2 linked regions of the Xenopus tropicalis genome follow. The protein of the gene in region 2 purifies or fractionates together with the protein of the main gene of each other region. This does not show direct contact. Links are inferred from orthologs where the notes say so. Each region holds a gene or a part of one and is shown on either strand. Other genes may lie near its edges. The genes, in order: gfpt1 and gars1.

Evidence for each region.
Region 1: the proteins of gars1 (region 2) and gfpt1 fractionate together in Homo sapiens (co-fractionation; 3 studies listed by BioGRID, with this or other methods). This does not show direct contact. The link is inferred for Xenopus tropicalis from reciprocal best matches to the Homo sapiens genes GARS1 and GFPT1.

Annotation. Positions count from the first base shown.
Region 1 is NC_030679.2:122,592,631-122,596,912, reverse strand, and holds the start of gfpt1 (glutamine--fructose-6-phosphate aminotransferase [isomerizing] 1), read right to left. Parts: upstream 2,962-4,282; 5' UTR 2,862-2,961; coding exon 2,855-2,861; intron 1-2,854.
Region 2 is NC_030682.2:7,802,009-7,806,418, reverse strand, and holds the end of gars1 (glycine--tRNA ligase), read right to left. Parts: intron 3,545-4,410; coding exon 3,459-3,544; intron 2,521-3,458; coding exon 2,411-2,520; intron 2,234-2,410; coding exon 2,140-2,233; intron 1,703-2,139; coding exon 1,512-1,702; intron 1,116-1,511; coding exon 990-1,115; 3' UTR 803-989; downstream 1-802. UniProt on the Homo sapiens protein: Catalyzes the ATP-dependent ligation of glycine to the 3'-end of its cognate tRNA, via the formation of an aminoacyl-adenylate intermediate (Gly-AMP).

The sequences.
Region 1 (4,282 bases), on a different chromosome or scaffold from region 2:
AGGCTGATTAGAGCAAATTGTTGATTGGCTGCTACAGATTACTGAACTTATGCAAAATAAATAAACACAATTAATAAACACTATTACTCTAATAACATGGGGCTAGGCAGCCAAATCCAGAATTCAGGTGAATTGAAAACCCAAATAAATCCCTGGGAATGTGGTTGAATTCTGCATTCAGCATGACCTATGTGTCTGGAAACAAGACCGTAACGCTTGCCCAACAGAAAGCAAGCCCTTAAAGTCATGTGACTAGGCAATTGAAAGTGATATTTTTATTTTTTTCTGGGGGCCGGGGGTGTAGTTGTTGGTATTTTGCAATTAGGATTTAGATTCAATTCAGTATTCAGACATATCTTTTGTGAAAGATTTACAATGATGGGTTCAGAGCATCCTACAGGGGCCATGGTCCTCCCAAGGCAACAATACTCCCAGCACTCATACCCCATGACAGGGCTGCCATCAGGGGGCTACAGGGGGCAGTAAGAACTCCCTAAGGAAAATCATAATTTGCAGGGATTGTGGGCAGAGGGCAAAGCTTTGCATAACTGGGGAATGGCCTCGGCAGATCAAGGGAATGACCATGCATGCCAGGGTCCTTTTTTTTTTTTTAATTGGGGCCCCATTTTGTTTGTTGGCAAGGCAAACCACCTAGATGACCAGTAGGCCTAATAACTGGGGCCCCCTAAATAGACCTGGGCAATTAAGTAGCACGGGGCCCCAATAATGGAAACTGCGTGGGATGGCTCTCCAGAAAAGGAAAGAGAAGCTGATAACATGACACAATGGGACCCCTTAGCACTAAACATGTCTCAGCCTTAGTACATACTCTGGACACAGCAAGAGAATTGTAGGAACGTCCATATACAAAGCTACACCACGGGCCTAAAATCTTAATATCACAGTTTCAGAAGGCAAGCAAGCAATGCCTGTTCTACTAGACACCAATATCCAATTAACTACTCTAATCCTAGTCTTGTAGAACAAGTTAATCCATTGAATTTATCTTGATAAATACCTGAGGAGACATTCACAAGTGCTAATTATGCAAATAGCAGTGTTTATGTATGTAACTGAGGTGCTAATAGGCTCTACCGTCGGGCCGTCTGGGTATCACTGCCCTTGTATACAGCGCTGCACAATACGCTGCCACTAATGAAATGCAAATACAAGCACCCATTGATATTATAAAGTAAAGATGATTGGCATGACAATAGTAACTCTGCTTGTTACAGTCTGAGGACCTAATATTTCTTATCAGCTCTGACTCAGGCACAACTAAATTATATTAGCACGGCAATTTGCATTTTACTAGACTATTACAAGACATCTACAACACCACTAATTATATATATATATATATAATGTGAATAATAAAATTATTATGGCTCTTGTATATTATATATATCACCATAATTCATTAGCTATCTATGGTACATGATTACAGTAGATAAGCATATTAGGGGCCCCCAAATTGCAGAACATGATCACAGATCTACAACTGCACATCAGTCAGGACCCCCAACAGCTACGCCCCACCCATGCAGTCGTTGTGTCTACTGCCCCTATTGTAGCACCTTTGTCTCAGGTACAAACAAAACCTTGTTTTCATCACAGTGCCTCCGTCCCAAAGAAAAGCCAAAACTAGGGACATTTGAAAATAAATCAACCAACAGGAAAAACTCTAAAGGGAATTTTTTTTTACAAAGCAATTATATGACACCTCCCTCGGCTATGAAATATTGACAGCTCATAACAGGTAATGAGCGTTTATATAAAGTAAACACTATCACTTGGGCGTGGGGAGATTAACCAGAAACTACAATGGGGCTGCTAAACTACATTCTATGATGAGGAAGGTCTCGTTGCTACACTCTGTGTTTACGGAGGAAGAAAAGAAAGTATTGGATGACAATGCCCTGCCCTGTACCCTAATACTGTGCCAGTCTAGTGGGAAACATTACTCAGAGACTCTCTCATATACCCACCTAGATACAAACTCTAACAATGCTCTTTAGTATGAGAAATATAATATAATACAATATAATCCACTCTCCAGTATGATTGTGTCTCACTGTGGGAAGAACCCAGTGACCTCAGGGATAGATGGAAGTAGGACTAGGGGCAAATATGGAACCTAGAGCTGACAGTTAAAAGTGACAGAAGTGAAAAAGGCTTCAGGCCAGTATCGCTTAGTCGTCATTATCAGAGAAAGCCGGAGGTTCCATGATTAAAAGCTGAAGGGCCCCACATAGGGCAACTCTAGCTGAGGAAACCATTGCTGTCAGGCTGGAAATGCACCAAGGGATGCATGGGAAAGGGTAGCGGCACCATCAGTACAGTCCCATAACATATCCCTATTCCTTGTGTTGGGGCACATAATGCCCAGTGAGAAGAGGTGAGGCCCATAACCCAATGCGGGGGGGGGGGGGGGGGGGGGGGGGTACAATACCAATCACTATAATACAGTATGGTGCTGAGGCAATGGGAGAGAGCAGAGAGATGGCAGCTACAGGGGACAAACCCAAATACTGGCTTCTGCCTAAGAAGATCTGCAGGTGAATGGCTGGAGAATGGGGGGTACAGGCAAGAGAATGTCCGTCTCTAGGGACACCCTAATGCCACTAAGTGATAAGAGCTGGCAGTTAGGAAAGAAGCGCAGACACACGTAACGCCACTCTCTCAGGGTACGTAATGTCACTCAGGGGCACCACTAGGACTGGCACTGACTGGGGATGCCCTTACAGCTCCTCAGGTGACATGTCGCAAAGGATGTCAGTGCATGCGGGAAGTGGCACCAGAGGGGACAGTGAGCAGAAGGGCAACAACAATGCAGGGTAAGAGCCATACTCACCGCACATCCTGCCGTCTGTATGTTACTATCTGTGAATAGGGAGCGCTCTCTCTATGCCACACACTGCCCAAGCTGCCTCACCTACCCTACATAAGGACCATCACCGGCCCGTGACGTCACTCCGGCCGCCCTCATTCTTCCCATTGGTCAGCTCCTTAGCCGTCACCAGCTGCGAGCAGTTTCATTGGGCACTCCCCTTCTCCGACCGCGCCCCTTACGAGATCTTTATATTCTTAATGGCTGTAGAGGAGGGAGGCGGGGCGTGCTGCTGGCAGCAGTGACGTGGCCGGATCCACCAGGATAGCGGTGACTTCGCAGCGTGGGCGGGGCCTCCAAGCTCCTTAGCGTAAAGATACTGGCGGAGGGGGCGTTTCCTATCGTCATTAACCCTTTCGGATCAACAAGTCGTGCGCAGCAATGTATTGAAGAAAGGGGGAAGGATCTGAATCAAACTTTCTTTCTATGTACGTGTCTGTCAGTGTTTATATATATGCCTCAGTCTGTAACAGATTTATGTGCCTGTATGTGTCTTTTTGTCATCTGTCTGTTAGTCTATTTAGAAGGCATTTTTTTCTGTTTAAGCTCACAAGTTTAGAAACTCAGCAGTGATCTTGTTGCTAATTTACCCTAGCAACCAGGCAGTGGTATTAATAAGAGACTGGAATGTGAGCAGGAGAGGAATTGAGCAAGGAGATAAGTTGTAAAAATGATATTGCAGCCTCTCAGAAGCTCCTGAGGTCGGTGACCCCTTTGGAAAGATGGAAAAATAATGAAAGGCAGGGTGGGAAATGAGCAGAGATAGTCTGAATGAAAGATAAGAATTTGTTATAAAAGTAACATGGAATTGTTACAGCCAATCTATTTTTGGTTGCTCTGCCCACCAGGGCAATAAAAAACATATTTTATGTTACAGGCGAAAAACAGGTCATATAAGAACAGTAACTACTCAAAGACTTTACAGAGTAAATAATGACGAGAAGCTGATTGGATGGTAATGTGTGGCAATGAGCAGGGGTTGGGTAGAGGGGCATTGTGTGGCAATGAGCAGGGGTTGGGTAGAGGGGCATTGTGTGGCAATGAGCAGGGGTTGGGTAGAGGGGCATTGTGTGGCAATGAGCAGGGGTTGGGGTAGAGGGGCATTGTGTGTCAATGAGCAGGGGTTGGGGTAGAGGGGCATTGTGTGGCAATGAGCAGGGGTTGGGTAGAGGGGCATTGTGTGGCAATGAGCAGGGGTTGGGGTAGAGGGGTATTGTGTGGCAATGAGCAGGGGTTGGGGTAGAGGGGTATTGTGTGGCAATGAGCAGGGGTTGGGGTAGAGGGGTATTGTGTGGCAATGAGCAGGGGTTGGGGTAGAGGGGCATTGTGTGGCAATGAGCAGGGGTTGGGGTAGAGGGGCATTGTGTGGCAATGAGCAGGGGTTGGGGTAGA
Region 2 (4,410 bases):
CTGATATAATGCCAATATCATTCATTCTGAGCTGGAGCGCCATCTTCTGGTGAGTTCAAGCAGCAGCAGCAGAAAATCCCTAATGCGCCTTAAGTCTCATTTTTCCCTAATCATTGAGTGGTACAAGAAAACTACTGAACAAATAATGAGCTTGATTGTATACCCCCCCCCCCCCCCCATACAATCAAGCTTATTATTTGTTCAGTAGTTTTCTTGTACCACTCAATGATTCAAGAAAAATTTCCATTTAGCATGGCTAAATGGACATATGGCAGTCAGGCAGTTCAGCTGCAAGGGTCAGTTTGGGTCCAATGCTGCTTCAACATGGCTAAATGGATTTATGTGGGTCAGGCAGTTCAGCTGCAGGGGTCAGTTTGGGTCCAATGCTGCTTCAACATGGCTAAATGGACTTATGTGGGTCAGGCAGTTCAGCTGCAGGGGTCAGTTTGGGTCCAATGCTGCTTCAGCATGGCTAAATGGACATATGGCAGTCAGGCAGTTCAGCTGCAGGGGTCAGTTTGGGTCCAACTGCCGCTTGAGCACGGCTAATTGGACTTATGTGGGTCAGGCAGTTCAGCAGCAAGGGTCAGTTTGGGTCCAACTGCTGCTTCAACATGGCTAAATGGACTTATGTGGGTCAGGCAGTTCAGCTGCAGGGGTCAGTTTGGCTCCAACTTCCGCCCAGCTATGCTGATTGCTATGTCTACCCCAGTTGGAGGCAGTCATTTGGGAGAGTTCTACAGACATTTCTGTGCCTCGGTCAGACTGTTCCGCCCCAAGGAATGAACGCGAGAGAATAATATTTGATATTTCAAACATATTTAATACCGTAATGGAATTGGGTTGTGGTTACAATTAAGGAGAGTCCCTGTCGGCAATAAATAATGCCGTTACTTTCCCTTTATTTTTATGCGGATAAAAGGGGGGAGTTGATATTAACAGCAATGGTAAAAAGTGGCGTTTGTGTTCCCGAGAGCAGGAAGGGGCGGTCACTCCTCCGAGGTGTCCTTTTTGCTCGTCTCCTGTCCCTCGAATACCGGGTATTGGGTCTCCACTTCCGCCCACGTCAGGCAGCCATTGGCCAAGTCCCTGACGATCCCCGGCAGCTCAGAAACCTATGGGCAACGGCACAAATGTTATTAATAGGGGAGACTGACGGCAGGAACAATGGCAGCTCAGGCAAGAGTGAACCTGCACAATGGGACGGGCACCATGGAACCCGATTCTACACTCGCCCCAATATTTCATAATATGCAATTAAGCTACAGTGACCCTTTAACTACACATTAGCCCCACCCAGACACCAAATTAGCCCCGCCCCATCACCAAATTACACCCGCCCAGAAACCAAATTAGCCCAGGCACCAAATTAGACTCCCCCCCCCCCCCCACACCAATTTAGCCCAGGCACAAAATTAGCCACGCCCAGACACCAAATTAGCCACGCCCAGACACCCCGTTCTGCCCAGTTCAGCTGATGTGTGGCACAAATGAATAAATATCTGTATTACCGCAGCTCGGATCTGCCTCATGGAATCCCGGTCCCGGAGAGTGGCTGTGTGAGGGGTCCGGTTCACTGTATCGAAGTCGATGGTGATCCCAAAGGCCACGCCGATCTCGTCCGTCCGCGCATAGCGCCTCCCGATGGAGCCGGAGGAATCGTCCACTTTGTGGGACACGCCATTCTTGGTCAAGGCGTCGGCTGCGGGGCCAGAACACTGCATTTAGCTACAGAAACACTGGCCCCAGGGATACTTAAGGGCAAATGCAGTCTATAAAGGGTGTTTGGGGGGGGGGGGTATTACTGTCAGCTAAATCAGAATCCACCTAATCCTCTTGCACCAGGCCAGTGGCACATCTCTGGGGGGCAGCCATGGGGCTCATTATCCCCCCCTGCTGGTACATTGCCAGTCAGAGCATTCAGTCCCTGACTGACCACAGAGGGCGCTCTACCTATTGCACCACCTTGGGCAGAACTGCAGAAGAGCATGCTGGGAACTGTAGTCCTGCTACAGAGGAGCACAAACACTTGCCCTGTGCTCAGTAGGAAACAGCTGACAACACACAAACAGCAGCCGCTTATTGGCATATTGGCAGCTTTTCCCGTATAAACGGTGCCACGGGGCAGCCATTACTTACACAGCTCTTTAACAAACGGCATGAACTCCAGGTTCTGGCTCAGCGGCAGCACGGAACACTTGTACGGGGCCACTATGGCCGGGAAGGTGAAGAACTGTGGGAACAGAAGCAACAGATTTACAAGTAGCGGTATGTGCAGTTGTGCTGATACAGTAGGGCCACCTAGTGGCCGGCACAGAGTACAGCAGCTACAAGGGCCACACAACATGGCAGCTTCTTTTCTGGTGAGTAATGAGTTAACTTTTTGGCACCTTATGGGGGGGCTTATTACCGTTCTCTGCTCATCTCCCTGTCGGACTTGGAATGTGTGCTCGAAAACGGTGTACATGATCCTCCCCAGGCCAAACGACGGCTCTATGACATTGGGCACGATCTCCTCGACTGGAAAAAAAATAAAAATTGCGACACGATTAGCAATGAGACGATTCCGCCAGACCCCCCCCCCCCGGTAACGGGCCAAATAAAGGGACGCGTGTAACTGCGCTTAATTGCAGCTCAAGGTCCCCTGGTTCCAGTGCCACCCGTTCCCATGGCAACAGGTAAAAAGCTTATTGAAGCGTCGGCCTTGGTCGCTGTATTATCCGGCCAAGGTCTGCGCTATTGTGTCGCGCCGGTAAAGTCGCAGAGCGGCGCATTGTTGGGTTCCCAAGCGTGGGAGGCAGAGCCCGTACATATCCGTACAATAAGCCCAGCAATACAATGACTCCAGTACCCATTCTATTCAGCCATAATGGGACATACCAACCAGGCCGGGGAGGGGGGCAGCTCTGCACACAATACAGAATACACGGGGGCCAATTACAGCCTTGGATGCAACATGTTTGCCTTTATAACCGCATTTGCAATGACCCATAGCAAACTATCAATGATTGGTTGCCGTGGTTACTGCTCAGGGGCCACATTTGCCCAGTGTTTACAAATGACCCCCACTGTCTTACTTGGGGGGCAACAAGGCAATGTACAAATAATATGGGGCCAATACTTGAGGATATTATATACAGCAAACGGGGTTGTGGGGGGGGGGGAGATATTATTAATAAATGCAGCAAAGAATGATTCACACAGCGACCATTTTTGCCCCACCCGTTTATATTTATAAATCTGGACAAGACCCCCCTATCGTCTAATAGAACCCCCCCCCCATGTACCCTTAGCCTATAGGGGTATCTGCCAAGCAATCTCATATACTCAGGGGGTATCAGGGGATGCTGGGAAGTGTAGTTTAATACCAGCAGGGACAGTGGGGGGCACTAGATGATTCCCAATGGCCGACTCTCCCAGTCCGAGCAATGAAAATGTGTGTAAAACCGGCCAATTACCGTGTATGGTTTTCTGGAATTTCTTGACAGACACCATGTCCTTAGTCAGCAAAAACGTTTTCCCTTCTGTTTCAATGGAGAATTCCCTGCAAAGAAATAAACACAATAAGATCTTATCCCTGTGAGTAATAATAACAGGCACTGCTCTCCCCAAGCCAATAAGAGATTTGCTTTTAAACAGGTGACCAGTTCATTTTCTACATGCTGATTGGCTGTTATAGGTTCCTGCCCTAGGGAAAGCTTGTATCACATAATTAGAGAATGGTGATCAATTTAATATCCCCCTAATAGTCCCATCTTGTTTCTGATTGGCTAATGCCCTATGAGAGCCTATGTGCCACGAGCGTGCTAGGTGGTAGATCCCAGAGCCTATGTGCCACGAGCGTGCTAGGTGGTAGATCCCAGAGCCTATGTGCCCCGAGTGCGACAGGTGGTACATCCCAGAGCCTATGAGCCCCGAGTGCGCCAGGTGGTACATCCCAGAGCCTATGTGCCCCGAGCGTGCCAGGTGGTAGATCCCAGAGCCTATGTGCCCCGAGTGCGACAGGTGGTAGATCCCAGAGCCTATGTGCCTCGAGCGCGACAGGTGGTACATCCCAGAGCCTATGTGCCCCGAGCGTGCCAGGTGGTAGATCCCAGAGCCTATGTGCCTCAAGCGCGACAGGTGGTACATCCCAGAGCCTATGTGCCCCGAGCGTGCCAGGTGGTACATCACAGAGCCTATGTGCCCCGAGCGTGCCAGGTGGTAGATCCCAGAGCCTATGTGCCCCGAGTGCGCCAGGTGGTACATCCCAGAGCCTATGTGCCCCGAGCGTGCCAGATAGTACATCCCAGAGCCTATGTGCCCCGAGCGTGCCAGGCGGTAGATCCCAGAGCCTATGTGCCCCGAGTGCGCCAGGTGGTACATCCCAGAGCCTATGTGCCCCGAGCGTGCCAGATGGTACATCCCAGA